Kluyveromyces lactis: one gene and its partner. The protein of the gene in region 1 interacts with the protein of each later gene in a pairwise test. Links are inferred from orthologs where the notes say so. Each region holds a gene or a part of one and is shown on either strand. Other genes may lie near its edges.

What was found.
Region 2: the proteins of DNM1 (region 1) and KLLA0_F21406g interact in a two-hybrid assay, tested with the Saccharomyces cerevisiae proteins (9 studies listed by BioGRID). The link is inferred for Kluyveromyces lactis from reciprocal best matches to the Saccharomyces cerevisiae genes DNM1 and MDV1.

What each region holds. Positions count from the first base shown.
Region 1 is NC_006042.1:1,182,530-1,194,834, reverse strand, and holds DNM1 (dynamin-related GTPase DNM1), read left to right. Parts: upstream 1-4,981; coding exon 4,982-7,309; downstream 7,310-12,305. Other genes in the region: SFI1 (Sfi1p), read left to right, coding at 1-1,954; PRE3 (proteasome core particle subunit beta 1), read left to right, coding at 2,245-2,309, 2,414-2,996; H3 histone acetyltransferase RTT109, read left to right, coding at 3,323-4,615; septin CDC10, read right to left, coding at 9,591-10,604; MRPL32 (mitochondrial 54S ribosomal protein bL32m), read left to right, coding at 11,148-11,705; KLLA0_F12804g (uncharacterized protein), read left to right, coding at 12,184-12,305. UniProt on the Saccharomyces cerevisiae protein: Microtubule-associated force-producing protein that participates mitochondrial fission. Fission of mitochondria occurs in many cell types and constitutes an important step in mitochondria morphology, which is balanced between fusion and fission.
Region 2 is NC_006042.1:1,993,893-2,003,160, reverse strand, and holds KLLA0_F21406g (WD repeat MDV1/CAF4 family protein), read left to right. Parts: upstream 1-4,783; coding exon 4,784-6,901; downstream 6,902-9,268. Other genes in the region: KLLA0_F21560g (homoserine O-acetyltransferase family protein), read right to left, coding at 1-610; KAE1 (tRNA N6-adenosine threonylcarbamoyltransferase), read left to right, coding at 2,027-3,184; SPC34 (Spc34p), read left to right, coding at 3,530-4,357; chaperonin-containing T-complex subunit CCT7, read left to right, coding at 7,847-9,268. UniProt on the Saccharomyces cerevisiae protein: Involved in mitochondrial fission. Has a partially redundant function to CAF4 in acting as an adapter protein, binding to FIS1 on the mitochondrial outer membrane and recruiting the dynamin-like GTPase DNM1 to form mitochondrial fission complexes.

The DNA of each region.
Region 1 (12,305 bases):
GAAATCGTTCAAGTTGTGGAAGCTAAAAATGTGTGAAGGTCATTATAATCCAACGACAATGAAACGATACTTACTTTGCAAAGGCTTCACAGAATGGAAAAAGAAGTATGCACATGAAATATACCTAAGAGAACTCGCGACTTTCTCAGAACGAAACTTTCATCTAAGTCCGTTTTTGAATAAATGGATCTCGCAATATCAAAAGAAAGAGGCATACGAGCTGAAACTCATAGAAAAAAGTAATATATTCATCAAACGAAGGTTTTTTGAAATGATTTTACTAGCAGATAAATTGGTTAATGTCGAGTCGAAGGTACAAGAGTGCAACACTGAATCTCTGCAACGATATGTTTTATATGTATGGCAAAAACGCTTCGAAGAAAGAACTAATAGTCATGATTACGTCGTTCAACAGAACACAAAGATTGTGCGCTTTTACTTTTCTCAATGGAAACTAAAATCGGAAAGTTACGCAACAGCGAATTCTCATTACACCTCACTTTTGAAGAAAAAATTCATCCATTCCATCACATTGAAATGCAGAGCAGCCCAATTCAACTCTTCAATAAAAGAAGCCAAATACTCGAAAGCTTTGAAACTTTGGCGTAAGAAATTTGAGCTGAACGCCCTTGCTCAGGAATTTGATTCTTTAATCCTTAAGAGATATTACAATGTTGTTAAAAATAAACAGCATTCTCTGAAAGATCTTGGGAATCTTTCAGCTCGATGTTATGATAATGATATCAGTAAGAGGCATTTTATGGTTTGGATTAATCGTTATAAACTATTGCTTTCATCACAAAGGAAAGCAGAAGTTTTCATGAAGCTGCGCTTTATTACCATTATCAAGCGTTCAATTAACGATACTCGTATGAAAACTCGTTTGTCGATTGAACTCTCTAAAGGTAACAGTAAAATGCTCGTTGAAAATTTGTGGAAAGTTTGGAAGACCCGGCTGGAATCTAAAAGGCTACTTAATCTTGAAATGTTGCTGGACAAGTTTGAAGATAGAAGATCTTTACAATTTAACCAAAAATTCCTTTCAGCATGGATGAAACGCTCTCGCTTCTACACAGTTGAATGTGCATCTATCGCAGAACAGAGCTCCGATATGAGTTCTCTGAAGAATACTATGCTCCAATGGACAACGAAATATTCCAACATAAAATTAATGCATACAGAGGCTGCCGAAATTCATGACAGCATATCTGTTTCCAATGCTTTTGATTCTATTCTTAGAAAGCTTGAGGCACTTCAAATTCAGGACTCTAGGTTGTCCATGTATGTCGAAGAAAAGCAGGTTAAGTTGTTACTGAAATGGACCAACAAGTGGAGCGTTAAGGTGTTAAAACTTAAGCGTAATGAAGAATCAGTTGCCATGTTTAGAGTGAGATGGAACAGAGCTAACCTTCGAGCTATTATGAGTTTATGGAAGGAGAAAGCGTTTTCAATCGTAAATTATTCGTCTGGTAACGAACTAGCTAGCTATTCTCCCCAAAATGATGAGTTGACATTTCAAACTCCCATGAAATCACCTAATAATGCTGCGGTAACGATACCTGGCTCCACAAGAGTTAAAAGAAATAAAATGGATAGAATAAGGAATAGGTTTAGTAGGGCCCGGGGAGCAATACCAAGCCCAATCAAGACAACAAATGTGCTGGATAGCACTGTAAAGGCGAGATTAAGTGATCAGCGAAACACAGCTGCAAAGGACACTACAGGCGCACAGGCTACATATCTATTGAGTGTGAATAAAAGGTTAGCGGGAAAAACAAGAAACATCAGCTTCAACAAAATTCCAGAAACAAGCCTTTTCGGATTTCCATCGCCTCAGCCATTTGAAGGACCAGATCCAGATAAATTAAAAGTTGATCTCGACTTCTTGGAAGGCGATTCTCTGCCCGAACGTGACGATTCTCCAACTAGAAGAAGATCCAGACCGATTCAATGAGTCTAGTCTGATCCACACTTGCGTCCCATCGTAAGGTTCTACTTGCATCAAAGCCGGTTATGTAGCTAAGTACATTCTCAGTTTGTATTTGTATTATTATCATTATTCTGTTACCCGGCTATGTTGATAATGCCAAAATATTAAGGAATAACTGAATCTTTTGGCGGGTGGCAAACCTTTGACAGAAAGATACAACATTGAAGGAATGCAACCGCCTAAAAGACGATATTCACAGGATTGAGTATCATCAGTGAGCAACTGTATCAAATCATTCCCAAATATAATCGAAAATGGATGGAATTCAAGTTGATATGAACCGCTTGAAAAAGGGCGAAGTGAGTCTAGGTACTTCAATGTATGTATCAATAAGGGAACGTTAAGATTCCTCTTTCCCACAATCGAATCAATCGGTTTTAATGATATCAGTGAATACTAACTAAACTTAATTAATGTTAACAGTATGGCCGTGACTTTCAAAGATGGTGTGATCTTAGGGGCAGATTCCAGAACAACTACTGGTGCGTATATTGCCAACCGTGTCACAGATAAACTAACAAAGGTTCATGATAAAATCTGGTGTTGTAGGTCAGGTTCAGCAGCAGACACTCAGGCTGTTGCCGATATTGTACAGTACCATCTAGAATTGTACACCTCACAATATGGAGAACCTACAACCAAGGTTGCTGCATCGATCTTCAAGACATTATGTTACGAGAACAAGGATCATCTCACAGCAGGTATTATAGTGGCGGGCTACGATGAAAAAAACAAAGGAGAGGTGTATAGTATACCTCTTGGTGGTTCTGTGCACAAGCAGTCGTACTCAATTGCTGGTTCTGGTTCTGCTTTCATATATGGTTACTGTGACAAGAACTATAAGGAAGATATGACTAAAGAAGAAACAATCGAATTTGTAAAACATTCTCTATCACAAGCCATCAAATGGGATGGTTCATCTGGTGGTGTCATTAGAATGGTTGTCCTTACTGCTGAAGGTGTGGAACGTTTAATTGTGTATCCCGATGAGTATGAAAACCTGTAGATTAGACGATAAAGCGGTCTTAACCCGTCTTCTGTAAGCAAAAGTATATTAGTTTAAAGAATAAAATTGGTATATAAGAAGAATAAATCTGAGAAACCTCGGTTTCCTTATCATCAAGACCAATCTTAAGGGGCGTTCGGTCCTGAGAGGTATTCTGCCTTCGGCTTTCCATTATTGGTAAACTTTCTCAGTAGTTAAGATTATCAGAAAGGCATTATAAAAAAGTACAACGGATCATTAATACACTCTTAGCTATGCAAAAATATAGAAATGAACTTGAATTGTTAATTGATAGAAAAGCCCAGCAGATATTATGATATAGTAGTATGTCCTTAGAATGTTACATTAAAGATGCACTTCCGTTCGGTCATGAGTTCGAAATCATTAATCTCCAGTCAATTCCACGAGAAACCTCGCCAATAACTTTTCCAAAACGCGAAGCTGAAGACGTTAATGGAAAAACGGTGAAGACCATCAAGACACAACATTTCGTCGCATTATGCTTTGAAGAGAAGGTTGTTTTTGCTCTTGAAATTGTTGTTTATTTCAGTTTGAATTCTGCCAATAATGGTCCCGTAGAAAGGCTCTTGTTCGTCTCCAAAGCAGATACAAACGGATATTGCGATCTAAGACTTGACATTGGTCAGATAACTAAGTCAATAATTGCATATATTCTGGCAATTAGTCCAGGACATTATTTGCGGGCGGTAAAACCGCTGATAAGGAAAGCACTGAGCGGTGCAAAGATTATAAAGAGAAGTACATCAGTACAGAGAGCGTTAGAAATATTATCCAACAGACCGTTGGATTCGAAGGGGATAACTTCAAGGGTTAAAATCCCAGACCAAGATTTATACGTTTCATTCCCGGTTCCGACGGAAATTGTCACAAAGGTAAGTCTTTTTACCAGGGCAGAGCCGCAGTATTTGTTTTCAAACTCATCTAAAAACCCAAGGAAACACGTCCTAAGTGGTGACAAATTGCTCAAATGGTGGTTAAAGATTGTAGACCAAATAGTTGTCGAAGATTTCGATAATAAAACAAAGGCAACCTTACAAATACCGGGAGAAGAGAAAAGAGTAATTTCCAACTATTTGAGAAACACAGCATATCAAAATTGGACCGTAGGAGACATTTTCTCTGAAAGTCCGCAAGACATTGCATTATACAGGATACCATTATTCCCTGATGACCCCAAGGGCAGATTCCTTGACCATCTGATCAGTGATGGACGAATTTCTAAAGTCAATGTGTTAACATTCTGGACAGAATTGCAAGCAAGGCAAGAGTTCAGACTGGGATCAACTGTGTCTGTCATTGGAGTGTCAGGAAAATACATCGGCCGTTGCAATGAACCAGAACGGACTGATATAATTATACCAACCTCGAAGAAGAACTTTAAAAATCTGAAGAACTACATAACTGGAGAAGAATATGACACTGAAGAAGGTGCTGAAGAAGCATACATGAACATTCGAGATATTTTTGACATGCATTACTCCACGAAGATGATAAAAGTTATTGGAAACCACCACAAGATCGCTACTACAAAACGGCCTGAAATAAACACTATTAACGTAATAAACACTCTAAGTGTCCATAGGAAACCTAAATCGTAGTGTGACGGTGCTGATATATATATACTACATAATGGATTCAGGACAATTTGCGCGTACATCACAGCGGATCTCTATATTGGAAGTCAATTTTCAGCAGAAATCAAACAGAGAATAAAAATGTAACAAATTAAATCAAATAAAAATAAAAATAAAAATAAAAATAAAAATAAAAATAAATAAATAAATAATAAAAAATACCTATTGCATTGAGAATAATTATTTGAAATTTGATCCAATGAAATGGTTAAATATTGCGTTTGAGTGTATCTTTGATTGGTTAGATATTAGATGCGATCCTGTTAACCTTAAACTAGTCTATTAGAACGGTTAATTAGGTCGGAGTATAGTACACAAGTAACTCTGAAGATGTCAAGTCTAGAAGATTTGATTCCTACGGTGAATAAGCTACAGGATGTTATGTACGATGCAGGCATTGACAGTTTGGATCTACCGGTTTTAGCTGTTATTGGATCGCAATCTTCTGGTAAGTCTTCGATCTTGGAAACGTTGGTCGGGAGAGATTTCTTACCTCGTGGTACTGGTATTGTTACCAGACGTCCTCTAGTTCTTCAGTTGAATAATATTGATCCGAATTCTCCATTGGTTTATAATTATGACAATTCTTCATCTACGTCACTTGAACAGGTTAATGACGAGCCAGATGCCCGCACGGAGAAGGAAATGACCTTGGAAGATCATTTGAGAAAGAATTCAAACTATAAGCCTGAAATAAAGAATGAATGGGGTGAGTTTTTACATATTCCAGGTCGTAGATTCTACGACTTTTCTGAAATTAGAAGGGAAATTGAAAACGAAACTGCTAGGATTGCAGGGAAAGAGAAGGGAATAAGCAGAATTCCAATCAACTTGAAAATATATTCTCCGCATGTTTTGAACTTGACTTTAGTGGATCTACCAGGTATCACTAAGGTTCCGATTGGGGAACAGCCACCGGATATTGAAAGACAAATCGAGAATTTGATCTTGGAATATGTTGCCAAGCCAAACTGTATCATCTTGGCCATCTCCCCTGCTAATGTCGATCTCGTTAATTCAGAATCTTTGAAATTGGCCAGAGAGATAGATCCCCATGGGAAAAGAACTATTGGTGTTATTACTAAATTGGATCTTATGGACCAAGGCACTAATGCTTTGGATATTTTGTCAGGGAAGTTGTATCCTTTGAAGCTAGGATTTGTCGGTGTGGTGAACAGATCCCAGCAAGACATCCAACAAAACAAAAGTGTTGAAGAAGCTTTGAACTCAGAAGAACAATTCTTTGCAAAACATCCTGTTTACAGAACTATTTCAACTAGATGCGGAACCAGATACTTGGCTAAATTATTGAACCAAGTCTTGATGAATCACATTAGAGATAAATTGCCAGATATCAAAGCCAGATTAAATACCCTCATCGGACAAACCGAACAAGAATTGGCTACATATGGTGACGATAAAGTTATCACGAAAGAAAATAGAGCTGGCCTTGTTTTGCAATTGATGAATAAATTTGCTACTAAATTCATTTCTTCCATCGATGGTACTTCCTCGGAAATAAGCACTAAAGAACTTTGTGGTGGTGCCAGAATCTATTACATCTATAACACTCTATTCGGGAAATCTCTAAACTTCATCAACCCTACTTCTAACTTATCAATGACGGACATCAGAACAGCTATAAGAAACTCAACTGGGCCAAGACCTTCATTGTTTGTTCCAGAATTAGCATTCGATCTATTGGTTAAACCACAAATCAGATTACTTCTAGATCCATCTCAACGTTGCGTAGAATTGGTGTATGAAGAATTGATGAAGATATGTCACAACTGTGGCTCTCCTGAGCTAGCAAGATATCCAAAACTACAAAGTAAGCTAGTCGAGGTTGTCAGTGAACTGTTGAGGGAAAGATTGGGACCAACTCGTTCTTACGTCGAAAGTTTGATTGATATTCATAAAGCGTACATTAACACAAATCATCCAAATTTCCCAAGTGCTACAGAGGCCATGGCCGAGATTGTTGAAGCTAGAAAGAACAAAAAGCAAACGGAAAGACTTCAGAAACAGAGGGAATATGAGAAGCAGCTACTGTTAGAGCAACAACAAGCTGAACGTGAAATGAAGAAATCCGATTCAGTAGATGAGACAGAACAAGATTTGAAGCTTGATTCTGATTCCACAGCAACCAGCGAGCACGACTCTGAAGAAGAAAATGATATGAAGCAATCAAAGGATTCCTTCTTGAATTATTTCTTCGGCAAAGAACAAAAGAGTTCCAATACAAAGCTTTCTTCGAGAATTGATTATAACGGCTCTGATAATTCTTATGACATCGAAAATTTGCAAATTCAAGATTTTAAAGACAAGAGCGCAGATGCCCATACCAAATCTGAAGCTGCTACCGAATTTACCGAACGTGAAGAGTTGGAATGTGAATTAATTAGAAGATTGATCGTCTCATACTTTTCCATTGTTAGAGAGATGATCGAAGATCAGGTCCCAAAGGCTGTAATGTGCTTGCTAGTAAACTATTCAAAAGAATCTGTCCAAAATAGACTAGTCACAAAGCTTTACAAAGAGTCACTCTTCGATGAACTCTTGATGGAAGATCAGACTTTAGCACAGGACCGCGAAAAATGCGTCAACCTTTTGGAAACTTATCAAAAAGCATCAGGTATTATCGGAGACATTCTATAGTCCTAGATAGGATCCTAAGTTTTATTTTATTAAGTTCAAAATGTAAATAGAAATGAAGATAATATTTTGTATACAGAAAAAAAAAAACAGTATTGAATATGCAAAGCATTAACGTTTATCCGTGAAGCTAATTTACTGATGTTGGATTATCCAAATGGTCAGAATTTAACCTCAGATGTGGAAGGGATGCTCTTTCTATCATAGAAAACAATATGTACCTTATAAACGCCAGATTCATAGAAACGCCTTTATCAAAAACATCAATATAATCAAGCAGAAAAATATTATTAAATTTCCAAAATATTTCATTAATATTTTTATTTTCGGAACAATAAAACATCTTTAATATTTAAATTTTAGAGTAGTAATCAAAAATATTCTATTTTATAAATAACCTAGAGTTAACAAAAATTAATATATATAATTAAAATATGATAATTATAAAGTTATTTTAAAAATTAAATATAAAAATTATAAGTTTATAAAAATGTATTATTTATTGTCACGTGCATAATAAATAATAAGGCATAAAGTACACTTTATTGTTAGCTAAAGAACAATTCTAAAGCAGTAGAAAGGTACAAGAGGAACACATTGGATTGAGTACCTGACGACTACTAATATCTGTGACTTTGGTGTTGTTTAATTATTCCTTATCTGTTTCATTCACACTTTTATATTTTTTTTATTTTATAATTATTTTATTAAAATTATTCTTTATTTATTATTGATTTAGGACCATTTGTAGTATTATGTTCCATTAATTTGTCGTTCATGAGAAGTATTATCGACATATGTAGCTAGGTCAGTGCGAAAAACCCTAACTAACATAGAACTGGATATTCATGATCAACTAATTTCCGAATCATCTGCTAGCGTGAGGTTTTCTTCGATGTATCATTGAAAATGGTGCTACCTTGATCGGCATAGAAGTATAAGTTAAGTGATTGCGGACAGTAACTGTAAACTGTAAACTGTAAGAATGTTGCGAAGATATCAAGTAACGAACACATACTGAGAGTGTGCGAATGTGTTGGAGTGTAGCCGTAAACAGTTCCGCAACAACCATAAGCCAAAAATCCACCATGGAATGTCCCATTGGCAGCGTTGGTTTTTTTCCTAGGGCGTTGATACTTATCGAAAATTGACGGCTAGAAATGATAGAGCGTTAAAGGAATTCGTTATCGGATCTGTGGACTGTTTGATCTATGCTTTAGTGCAGTGTAATAACTTGCTTTGCCTTCAAGACATTTTACTCGTTATATGAATATTGCAGCGCACAAGAAATTTGTAATTCACTCACTACTAGAATGTGATCAACAGCAAATATTTCGTTAAACCTAGTATGGATTACAAGAGTCATGAATGCATCCTGCAGAATATTTTACTGGAGTTCTTTCCCCAAGGATAGTTGCTAACTCTATTTATTATTTTCAGAGAACATCGATGTGCACTGGAAAGGCTGAATCAGCATCCTAGTTTTAACATTTTCCCAAGTTGTCAAAACTAGTAGATGACCAAAATATCACTTTGTGAAAGGCCCATATCTTTGCATGCCCAAACCAATCATACAAATATTGAAAGCGTATATCGAGTTTTGGACGGTGTCCGATGCTTTATTATTCGTTTTTCCATGCGCAGAAAATACATTGATAGTGAATTTTATATGAAACGCTCTAAGCAGAATAAAGACATTAAGGACTTCCATAAACTCCTGCCAAATGTCTGTAGACTCCATTCTACTCAGAAGTCGTAGAAGAGCACAATAAAAAAAAGATTCCAGAGGATATGACAAAATAGAACATTTTAGTATCTGGAATAAAATTTAAACACTGAATGTCTTCATGTAGACACTAATATGCAGTGATGATACATTGTAGATTACTCTGGAGCTTGTCTACACTAATTTATTCGCATACATCTGCTCAGTACAAAAATGGGAGGACAACAGCACCGTCCAATTTCTTAGACTTTAATTACCAGTTGGTTATACGTGATGTAGTATTATAGTTAACTAATGGGGTTTATAAATCCTAAAAAGAGAATGTGATATATAAAAAAGAGATTAAGAGACGTTTGACAAGTAGAAATAGAGAGACATTACCAATTATCAATAAGATATATGGAAATGAAGCGACATTTTACTAGGGCAGGATTCAAACCAGTGAAGAACACAAAAAAAATAATTGGCACAGCTCTTGCGTACCGGTAAAACGCTACATTTTTTTGAAATAAAGACGCCGTTTCTTCTAGAAGTCTTCCCGGCTCTTTTTTCCACCTATTAACGCAGCATTGTTGTTGATGTCTGAGACATGTGTGCAGAAGTTCTAGCGTTGGCGTTCTCCTTCAAAGCAATCAATTGCTTGGATCTGAAACTTTCGTAGTGGATCAAAGCTGTAGTCTCAATCAAATCTTGCAAGTGTGTCCTGATCAAAAATTCTCTTAAATATACGAACTCACATTGGTTGATGTCTTCGACATTGATGGCACCCCAACGAGTTTTTCTTCCTCTTACTAGTTCACCGTTCACTGTAATCTCCTTTTCAGATCCTACAACGGCAAATGGAATAATAGATCTTATACTTTTATTCAGTTCCACTTCTTCATCGGTCAGATCGTCTAAATCATATGGATAGATTCTGAAATTGTACTTTTTAAATTCTTCTTGTAAGATGTTTCTGAAGTTAGCTCTCTCATTCAACGTCAAAGTATCAGCTTTAGCGATCACCGGGATAACATTAGCGATTTCTGTCAATCTCTTCAAAGCAGCAACGTCAAGTTCTGTTAGACCCTTACCGTTAGGTTGGATGAAATATAACACTGCATGTACTCGAGTGTCTACAATGTGTCTTTCACGTTGAGCAGTCAACTCTTTACGTAAATATTGAGAGTGTTGCTCCTTGATGTACTTGACAATAGGTTCCCAAACTTTGTCGTTATTTATCTGGTCACCAAAACCTGGAGTGTCAATCACGTTCACGTTCAAACGTACACGGTCTTCCAATAAAGAATGTGTTGAAACCTTGATCTCGGTGGTCTTACTAATTGGTTCCTGAGTGATGTCCTTACCAGTAGAAGAATCAACCAAGTGAGATGCAAACAAAGTGTTGATCAAAGTACTCTTACCCAGACCAGAATGTCCAACGACCATAACGTTGAATTGAAATCCTCTCTTCAACAAACGATGTTCAATCTGTGAAGTAATCGAATCAAACCCAACATAAGAAGATGGATTTACCAAAGCCAACCCATCAGAAGAAGAAGTCATACCAGCTGCAGCAGTACTAGATGCCATTGTTTTTGTTTATGCGTGTATTTTACCTTTAATAATTCCTTTCGCGTAGTAGAGATGTATATAAGTCAAATCCAAATGATCAAAGCTTTACGTGTTTTAGTGTTTGGAAGTTAAAATAATGAAAAACCTCTAAGTTATAAAAACAATTAACCGCAATAACAAAAATTCAAACAATGAGTAGCAATTAACCACAGAAACGTCAAAAAAAAGTAATCACAATCTTACTTATTCTAAAGAATACAAGATCTGATTCCTTACTTATATTTTGTTGACACACTTATTTCGTTTCGAGTTCCATTTTTAGTTTTTGTGATTTTTCGTCTTTTTCATCGAAATCGAAAAAGGGACACAGATCATCACCAAATCAGGGTAATGTTGAAAATTCTTTCTTATAATCCAATTCGTCAATACCAATTTGAATTGACGAAGTTCAAACAGAGTTAGACGAGCGACCTAGAGAAACTAGTATCTGTCCCTATCGATTGAACTTATCCTTTCTCCTCTTCATCATAGTATCATACCAGCAGCGAAAATAATTAGAGGATGTCTTTTGGAGCTGTAACGGAATCTTTTAGCAGAGTGTTGCTGGAAACAGCGACATCAATATTGCCTCGTTGGAGCACTCCAGCAGCTGGTACTGCATTGCCACAGAAACTGCTGGAATTGCTTGAAAGAAACCAACGTGAAAAGTCTTCACCTCAAGCGGATTACTTTACGAATAACGGGATCCTTCTAGCTGTGCCCAAGAAGAAAGTGTCGCATCAGAAGAAGAGACAAAAGTTATATGCGCCTGGAGACAAACAGCTGAAAATGATCAACCATTTGAACAAATGCCCTTCATGTGGGCATTACAAGAAGGCACATACGCTATGTATGCATTGTGTGGGTGAAATCCGTCACATCTGGAAGGCTCACACTAACGTTGAACAAGTGGAGCCTATTCAAGAACAAGAGTTGTCTGAATTGGACAAGCGTATCTTGTATCCTGGTAGAAAAGAAACTGAATACACAAAGAAACTGAAGGACAAGGATGCTTATTTGGAGAGACGTATGAAAACTCTGCCAGTGGAGAGATCTGAGAAGAAAGAAGGATCACATTAAACCCTCTTCTCATTGAATCCAGTACAAAATAACACATCGGCGGAAATGACTAAAAAAAAACAACCTTTTATCAAGTTCAATCCCCCCATCACCTTGTATATATATGTCGAATACACGTCCCAGATTTTAGCAGGTTATTTCAGTGTCAGCATTCACCTCCTGTAGTAATAGTTAGATTCATTATCTCATCACAATCAACTCTACATAGAATCAAATCACATACAAAAATTTTCCTAGAGCAGGCTTGATGCCAGGCCTAAAGGCGTGAAAATCAGTCGAGAAAAGATCAGATTGAAAAGAAAAAAATCATGAGTGAAAAGATTTGAAGTAGCGATGAGATGAGATGAGGTGCGAATACACGATACAGGATTAAGCAGGACCTGAAAACTGGCATCAGTTTAACAGTTTGGTCTGATATTGGTTGTTTTGTTTTGTTTCACTTTAAATTGACAATAAGGCTGACAATTTTCCATACAGTATGACAACGACACGACAGTTCAAGAAAGTGAAAAAGGTGCCAAATTACAGGATTCCTGTATTTACCAGCATCCCAACGCATCCGTTAGGGGTAAAACCTAGCGGGAATTCTTTATTAGAGGG
Region 2 (9,268 bases), about 810 kb from region 1:
ACCTCGTTGCATACGGTTTCCCGTCTCCAGGATCTAGAGACGAAGGGCCTGTAGATCCGTAGCACCCTCCTAATACATTTGTACAGATAATGAACCACTTATCAGTGTCTAGGATTGAATTTCCAGGCCCTATGAAGTCTTCCCACCAGCCAGGTTTTTCGTTCGACGATGAGGAATGTGCATGTGACGATGCACTAAGTCCTGTATGTATTAAAATAGCATTAGATTTATCTTCATTTAAAGTGCCCCAGGTCTCATATGCCAACTCAAAATTCGGTAGCACTCCACCGTAGTCTAGAAATATAGGTTGTTTAGATTTGAAAAGCTGAAATCCTGATCTCACTTTCCCGTAAACTGGGTCATTCTTTGAAGATGCGGATGTGGCATCCTCTTCCATAGAGCATGACATCTTGGAGCTTGGTGTGTTAGGATCTGAGTCATCTCCTCTAAGCTTTGCAGTTTTCTTTTCGAGTTTATCTAGGCATGGAAACTGCATCGCAGGATTTGTAGACGTGTTCAATGCTGAGGAATATCTGGTCCAATTAGTTCGCACAGCATTGTGAGCTGCAGGAAACGACTTTTTTGAAGCGAATAGTATTGCCGATGACATTATCAACTCTATTTCCTCACAACTTCAGTTTCGGATTCAGAGAGATTCGATAATTCAGTGACTCGGATGCCGATGTCATCCAGTGTAAAATAATGTAAGAAACACTTCAGTGAAGATAAAACAGATGATAAGGTTGTAATAAGAATAAATTCATTGCTCTACTGTTGAAAGTTACAGTTATTAATAAGAGCTTAATATATACAAGAAGCCACAGAGCTGATCACGTGCTTTTGTGAACGAAAATATTCTCATTTGACACTTTCCACTGGGTTGCAATCAGTGGTAGAAAAGATCAGAAATTAAAAAAAATCTGGGGCGAGCTGGGAATTGAACCCAGGGCCTCTCGCATGCTTTGCAGTAGTTAAACTTCGTTTATCGAAGCTTCGCTAGGCTACTAACCCAAAGCGAGAATCATACCACTAGACCACACGCCCTCGCAATTTTGGCAGAAAACTTTTCTAGGTGTCCACAGAGTCTGTGAATGTCATGTGATCGGCGAATGAAGTCTTGAAGACCTCAGTTGCTAACTGATTTGCATGTTCAGCTCCTTCCTCTAGATTGAGGCTTCATACCTCACAGTGGTGTACGTATTTTAGAAGGTCTTTTATCAAACATTGCTGAAAGTTTATACTATCCCCCAATTAATTGCCCAATGGCAATTAATTCATATATTGAAGAAGTATTTATAACATTCTGTTGTTAATGATAAATATAAAGAGGCTAATGAGATAAAATTAGCTCAGGGAGTTTCACTGTCGTAGTAAAAAGATTTCCGCTGGTTGCAATTAATAAAAGGTATTTTTGCGTTGATTCAAAGGGTGAAATCCATTAATAAATTATCCAAAGATGCACATTGTTAGCACGTGGTTTCGGCTTCCGTACATAAATTAAAGGGAATTCAAGCAACTCAACGAATTAAATAGCTCGCGTGGCGTAATGGCAACGCGTCTGACTTCTAATCAGAAGATTGTGGGTTCGACCCCCACCGTGAGTGCTTTATTTCAAAATCCGCGATAGTTTAATGGTTAGAATTCGCGCTTGTCGCGTGCGAGATCGGGGTTCAATTCCCCGTCGCGGAGATCTTTTTTCATATCGAATCTGAAAATACGTTCTGTACACAATCTTTTCCCCTCAACGAGTGATTGACCAGCTATGACTATGTCTTGCAGTTTGATACACTTTTTCTGTTGTTGCTCCTCTTACTATGCTATCTTTTACTCACAAAATTGGTGTATATGATTTTTTGAAAAATTGGAATCTGAGAAAACCGAAAAGTTGAACTGAGATGAGTTGACTATCTTGATCTGTAATACAACTCCCTGAATATATAGTGTGTCTCACCAGTTCAACGTGTGTTCGTGCGATATTCATTGAAGGTATACCTATTATCGTCAAAAATTCTTTTTTCAGTAAGAGATGGTGAATTTAAACGGCATTCCACCAAGAGGTAAAAGGAACTATTATTTGGCAATTGGTCTTGAAGGATCTGCCAACAAGTTAGGCGTTGGTATTATCAAGCACCCAGTGCTAGAAAAACATGAAGATAGTGACCTTTCGTATGAGTGTGATGTTGAAATATTGGCTAATATTAGAGATACATATGTGACACCGCCAGGAGAAGGGTTTTTACCAAGAGATACTGCAAGACATCATAGGAATTGGGTGGTACGAATCATTAGAAAGGCATTAACGGAGGCCAAGATCGATGATCCCACAAAGATCGATGTGATATGTTTCACTAGAGGACCTGGAATGGGTGCTCCTTTGCATTGTGTGGTTATAGCTGCAAGGACTTTGTCATTGATGTGGGACATACCATTAGTTGGGGTTAACCACTGTGTGGGGCATATCGAGATGGGGAGAGAGATCACAGGAGCTAAAAATCCTGTCGTGCTCTATGTTAGTGGAGGTAACACTCAAGTTATTGCTTACTCCGAGAAAAGATATCGAATCTTTGGTGAAACGTTGGACATCGCCATTGGGAATTGTTTAGACAGATTTGCAAGAACTTTGAAGATACCGAATGCACCATCGCCTGGTTACAACATTGAACAACTGGCTAAACAGTGTAAGAATAAAGAAAAATTAGTGGTATTACCATACACTGTTAAGGGAATGGATCTGTCAATGAGTGGTATTTTGCAATATATTGACACTTTAGCGAAAGACCTATTCAAAAAGAACTTGAAGAATAAATTATTATTTGATTCAAGAACAGGAGAACAGCTTGTGACTGTAGAAGACCTATGTTACTCTTTACAGGAAAATTTATTTGCCATGCTTGTGGAGATTACCGAACGTGCAATGGCCCATGTAAACTCAAACCAAGTGCTAATAGTGGGTGGTGTTGGATGCAACGTTAGGCTTCAAGAGATGATGGCCCAAATGTGTAAAGACAGGTCCAATGGACAAGTACACGCAACTGATGACAGATTCTGTATTGATAATGGTGTGATGATTGCCCAGGCAGGCCTATTAGAGTACAGAACAGGCCACTTTGTTAAGGATCTTTCTGAAACCATTGTCACGCAGAAGTTTAGAACCGATGAGGTTTATATCGCATGGAGAGAATAATAATAGCCAATTCTGATTTTCTTGTTTATTTATCATCATATATAGAATAAAGTAAGCAATAGTTCTCGCTTAGCTTACCCCGATGTAAAGGCCGCATGAGCCTTAAAAGTCTTCTGTCAACCTTTTCCATTAACATAATGCCAACTCTTTTCACGTAAAGATTTCGTAAACACCGAAAACAAAAAAACTAAAATGTAAACATAATCGAGTTAAAAGATAAATGAATCATTTGGAGTATTTCAAGAAATTACATAGTATTGGATGAAATATTGTATTCCATAGCAGTTTCCTGAAAGAGGGTGGTGCCTAATCTGTACGTGTAGTGTTTTTTAACAACATCAAAGGATGTCTGGATCATTAGATTACTGCCTGGATCAGATATCAAAATCCGCGGAGTCAATATCGACCTTATATTTCAAACCGCCAGGCATCTTTAGAAATGCGATTGTACCAGGCAACAGCAAAGTGTACTCAGATCTTATAGTAAAGCTTATAAGAGATGGCGATTCAATTGAAGAAATGTCATTATACAGTACAGATAACGATGGAAATATGAAGCGTAAGGATGGGAAAGTAGGGATATACGATCATCTCTTGGAGAGGGAAGCAACTTTGAAACGGAACAGAGCACTATGTTTACCAGATCCAAGACCTATTACCTACATACCGAAGGGGTTTTATCTCAGTCAAAACGATCATGTCATCCGAAAGAAACAGAAACCTGCAAGAGATTTTATCTTCGAAGGAAGTAACAGCGATGAGCTGGGAATCTACGACGTGCTATTGAAAAAATTCAGCAAGGACGAACAAATCAAGCAATTTCTTCATGCATTGCGGAATGGAAGTGTGATAACTGGCGAGGATGTATCAAGAAGGAAAACTCTTTTCGTAGAAGATTTCCCAATCTCGATTATATTATCTGTGTTCCGGGAAATTATAGATCAATGGCCTCTCACTGAATACAAGGAGAAATTTGAAAAACTAATGCAAATATACAATGGATTACAAGCTGATATTAATGAACTTCAGAAGAAAGTAGAGATCCAGGAGTTAGACTTCCAACACGAAGCGTTACCGGAAAAAACGTCAATATCATCTCTCATCGATAAAGAGGAGAAAGAAATACAGAAGCTCGAGAAACAGTTGGACCTTTTGGAAGGGAGAAATAAGTGAAATCTAGCAGCGGTACTAAAAATCCATTTGATACATTAATAAGTTATATCCAAGAAAAACCGATATGCTTGCCGAAATGAAGTGGAAAGATATATTTCACACTTCGGGAATTAATCTCGCACTGGAATGGAAATATTCATGTAAGTTTCAGTTCAGTATATATCATTTTTGTATTATTAAGGTTCTAATTTTATGATAACGAAATATATCGTAGTTCCATTTCTACGGCATCTTGCTCTTCTACAGAGAATACGGTTTTCGTTCTTTCATATGATTTTATTGCTGCAATGAAAGTTCTAATTTCAGAGTACAAAAAAGTAGATACATGGAAACAAAGAGTTGTTAGTTCCTATTACAACTTCAAATCTTAAAGAAACATATGTTGCGAGCAAAAGCCTCGATAAGAGTGTTAGTGGTGCCAGAACTATGAGTTCTAATACGGGAGACCAGTTTGCCAATCTGGGAAAGGCACTGTCTACCACGGCGTCTGTTCTATTCTCGTCGCAGCCGATGGAAGACACAATTCTTTCATACAGTAGTCCATATAAGAAATTGCTTCATGAGACAATTACTAATGCAGGTGGGGGATCATCACTAGTTAAAGTACGCCACGACGTGAAATTATCTAAAGGCAAGAATACAGGTTTCCAAGATATATATTCCAATAGCAAAGAGTTCTTTAAAAACTCTTATAGTGATCCAAAAACAACATTCAAAGTTTTAAGTTACTTGAGTGATGATCTACTTGAAGACGCCCCACGAGACACTATACCTCAGAACAAGAACATGATAACAGAAAATGGCGAGAAAAGATCTGCAAAGTCAAAAAAGCAAGAACCGACGTTATTTCAAGGATTTGAAGCATCTTTACCTGTTATTAATGAAACGATAGAACTACAGCAAAAACTTATAATGAATAGCGATATGAAACCCTTAACAGACTCTGAGTCCATCCCAGTTTACGCTGAAGAAGAAGAACAAGAGGAAGAGTTTAGTTTGCCAGACCATTTAAAAGCTGATAAACTTCTGCATTCTTACTCCGCATCCTTCTTGAAGGATGCCTCGAGGTCAATCACCGATAACCTGGATTTACTTGAAATCCAGAAAAATCTAGCAGCTAGCGAAATAAGAGAGCTAGATATCAAGCTGGAAAAGTTAAAAATGATGCGTGAACTAGTATTCAAGCGAGTGGCTAAAATTGAGCAGCATGAATTGTTTTTGGAGAAGCATTTGAACAACGTTAAGGATAGAATCGATATGATTATAGAGTACAACATGGATAAAGAATACTCATCGGAGGATGAAGAAAATATAAATGGATTATCTGAACTTTCGCCTAAAACTGGAGAAACTAACGAAACATATGAAACTGCGGCTACCACTCCTTTAGAAAACAAAGAAGAAGAGCACTCTCCATTGCTTTCCAAATCCATCTATCAGCAGCTACAAGACCACGAGAAGAAATCGGATATTTCCGAAAGGAAGAAACATAGTACTTCCAAAAAAATTAAAGATGTTGGTGTTTCTCACCGTAATCGCCGCCGTAAAACTTATCCAACTTTACAACAGTTCTATGATTCCGGATCTAAGATTACAAGCCTTCCTAAGGCCCATGATGAAGATATCACTTGCCTAGATTTTGATATGCCATTTGGTACTATGTGCTCTGCTGGCAGTCTAGATCACTCGGTAAAAGTATGGGATTTAAGTAAAAAAAAACAAATTGCTACATTGCATGGACACTTAGCATCTATCAGTTGCATGCAAATTGATCAATATAGCACCCTGATTACTGGTGGTCGGGACGCAGTTCTGAAATTGTGGGATATCGATAAGGCCATGGCTGATGAAGCGTCAAATTCATCTGAAGATAATGATGCATGTTTATATACCTTTGATTCTCATGTTGATGAAATCACCGCAATAAGTTTTGACGGTGACAATTTGGTTTCTGGTTCTCAGGATAGGACAGTACGTCAATGGGATCTGAATAGTGGTAAGTGCACCCAAACCATAGATATATCTTTCGCAACTGGCCCTATGCGGTCTCAAAGAAACATCCCTCTTCGTAATAGTGTACTTCTAACCAAGGAACCGCCGGCTATTGGAGCTTTACAATGCTTCGATGCTGCCTTGGCGACAGGTACTAAAGATGGTATCGTAAGGCTTTGGGATTTAAGATCCGGGAAAGTAGTACGTATGTTAGAAGGTCATACTGACGCCATCACCTCCCTTCAGTTCGACTCGGTCAATCTAGTTACAGGTGCAATGGACAGAAGTATAAGAATATGGGACTTAAGAACTGGTATACTTTCTGACGTATTTGCATATGAGCAACCGATCACTTCTCTACATTTCGATCTGGATAAGATTGTAATTTCAAACAATGAGCCTACTGTGAAAATTTACAACAGGAAAGACGGTAACCACTGGTTCTGCGGCGAAGATGATCCTGAACAAGGTAACGTGGATTTTGTTAGATACAAACACGGATATTTGGTAGAAGGGCGCTCGAATGGTGACATCAACACCTGGGCAATTTAGACCTACAAAATTGTTTCAGCTGAAATGAGAGTTATGACATTTGCCGTCATCTGGCACATTACTTCAAAAATAATAAATATTCTTCACTATTCCCCATAAATTAAATAGAAAAATAATTAGCATACAATGTAGGTGATCACTTGTATATAACTCACTAGTATAAAAAGACCATCCTCATAATACCTTGCTAGTTATTTTCGCGTGCAGTAGAATGTTTCTAGCTACAAGCCACTAACAAGACATGCTTCCAAGCCAAAAAAATCTAAGATTTAACAAAAAAGAAATGGTTGCGAAGAGATTCGAACTCTTGCATCTTACGATACCTGAGTGTTCCCAACTGTAAGGTTGGTTAAGATAGGTATCTTGAATCAGGCGCCTTAGACCGCTCGGCCACACAACCAATTTCGTGATTATTAGTTGAGAATGTCCACACTATAATGTAGATACCGTCTCATAAAGAGATTATATTAGAATAATCACTTGCAATATATGGCTTTACAACGGTATACAAATTATTCAAGATGTTAAAGACGTCCATGTTCATGCAAAACAGCATCTCGAAGTTGCTACGCGCATGTTTCAGCGTTCAACGACGTTTCAGAGAGGAAAAAAAAGCGTTAACCGCCGCCGTCACTAAATATACCGGTGCAACTCAAATATTATCTTCTGTAGAGACCGTCTTACTCTCTGTTGTTTCTATATAAAGTGGACCTGGTTGTCACCAATTACTAAGACGCACTCTAGTTTGGCCCTCTTTTTGTTTCGTTTGTTTTCCAATATTACTGTTGCCTGTTACTTTTATATGAAATTTCAACGAAATCGAATTTAATAAAAAATTAATTACTACTCTGTTTTTAAATCAAACACAGCGAGAAATTGTTACGATATTCGTTCATCGGGTGGCAAAACAGAGCTATTGCACCAGCAACCAAGGAGCTATTGAGAATGAACTTTGGCAATCAAACACCTACTATTGTTGTCCTTAAGGAGGGAACCGATTCCTCCCAGGGTAGAGGCCAAATCATCTCTAACATCAATGCCTGTTTGGCAATTCAAGATACGTTGAAACCAACTTTGGGTCCGTTAGGTTCTGATATATTGATTGTGACATCTAACGGTAAGACGACTATCTCCAACGATGGTGCTACAATTCTTAAATTATTAGACGTTGTTCATCCAGCAGCGAAGACACTAGTTGACATTTCCAGAGCTCAGGATGCTGAAGTTGGTGATGGTACCACAAGTGTGACCATTTTAGCTGGTGAATTGATGAAGGAAGCAAAGCCTTTCTTAGAAGAAGGAATCTCTTCTCATATTATCATGAAGGGTTACAGAAAGGCAGTAGAACTGGCTGTAGCTAAAATCAATGAAATTGCGGTTGATATTTCCAATGAAAACAATTCAAGAGATTTGCTAGAACGTTGTGCTAGAACCGCGATGTCCTCTAAGTTAATCAATAATAACGCTGATTTCTTTGTGAAGATGTGTGTGGATGCAGTGTTAACATTAGATCAAGAAGATCTTGATGATAAATTGATTGGTATCAAAAAGATTTCTGGTGGGGCTATGGAAGATTCTTTATTCGTTGACGGTGTCGCCTTCCAAAAGACTTTCTCGTACGCTGGGTTCGAACAACAACCAAAGACTTTCAAGAATCCTAAGATCCTTTCTCTAAACGTTGAATTAGAACTAAAGGCAGAAAAAGATAATGCAGAAGTGAGAGTTGAACATGTCGAAGATTACCAAGCTATCGTTGATGCTGAATGGCAAATCATTTTGGATAAGTTACAACAAATTGAAGACACAGGTGCCAACATCATTTTATCTAAATTACCAATTGGTGACTTGGCCACTCAATATTTTGCTGATAGGAACATCTTCTGTGCCGGTAGAGTCGCAACTGAAGATATGAACCGTGTTATCCAGGCTGTCGGAGGCTCTGTGCAATCTACCACTTCTGACATAAAACCAGAACATCTAGGAACTTGTGAACTGTTTGAAGAAGTGCAAATTGGTTCTGAACGTTACAACCTTTTCAAAGGATGTCCACAAGCTAAAACCTGTACGTTGCTACTTAGAGGTGGTGCTGAACAAGTTATCGCTGAAGTTGAAAGATCCCTACATGATGCTATTATGATCGTTAAAAGGGCTCTACAAAATAAACTAGTAGTAGGTGGTGGTGGTGCTATAGAAATGGAAATCTCAAAATATCTAAGAGATTATTCAAAGACCATTGCCGGTAAACAACAATTAATTATCAATGCATTTGCCAAAGCATTAGAAGTTATACCAAGACAGTTAAGTGAAAACGCAGGTTTCGACTCTGTGGAAATCTTGAACAGACTAAGAATGGCTCACAGTAAAGGT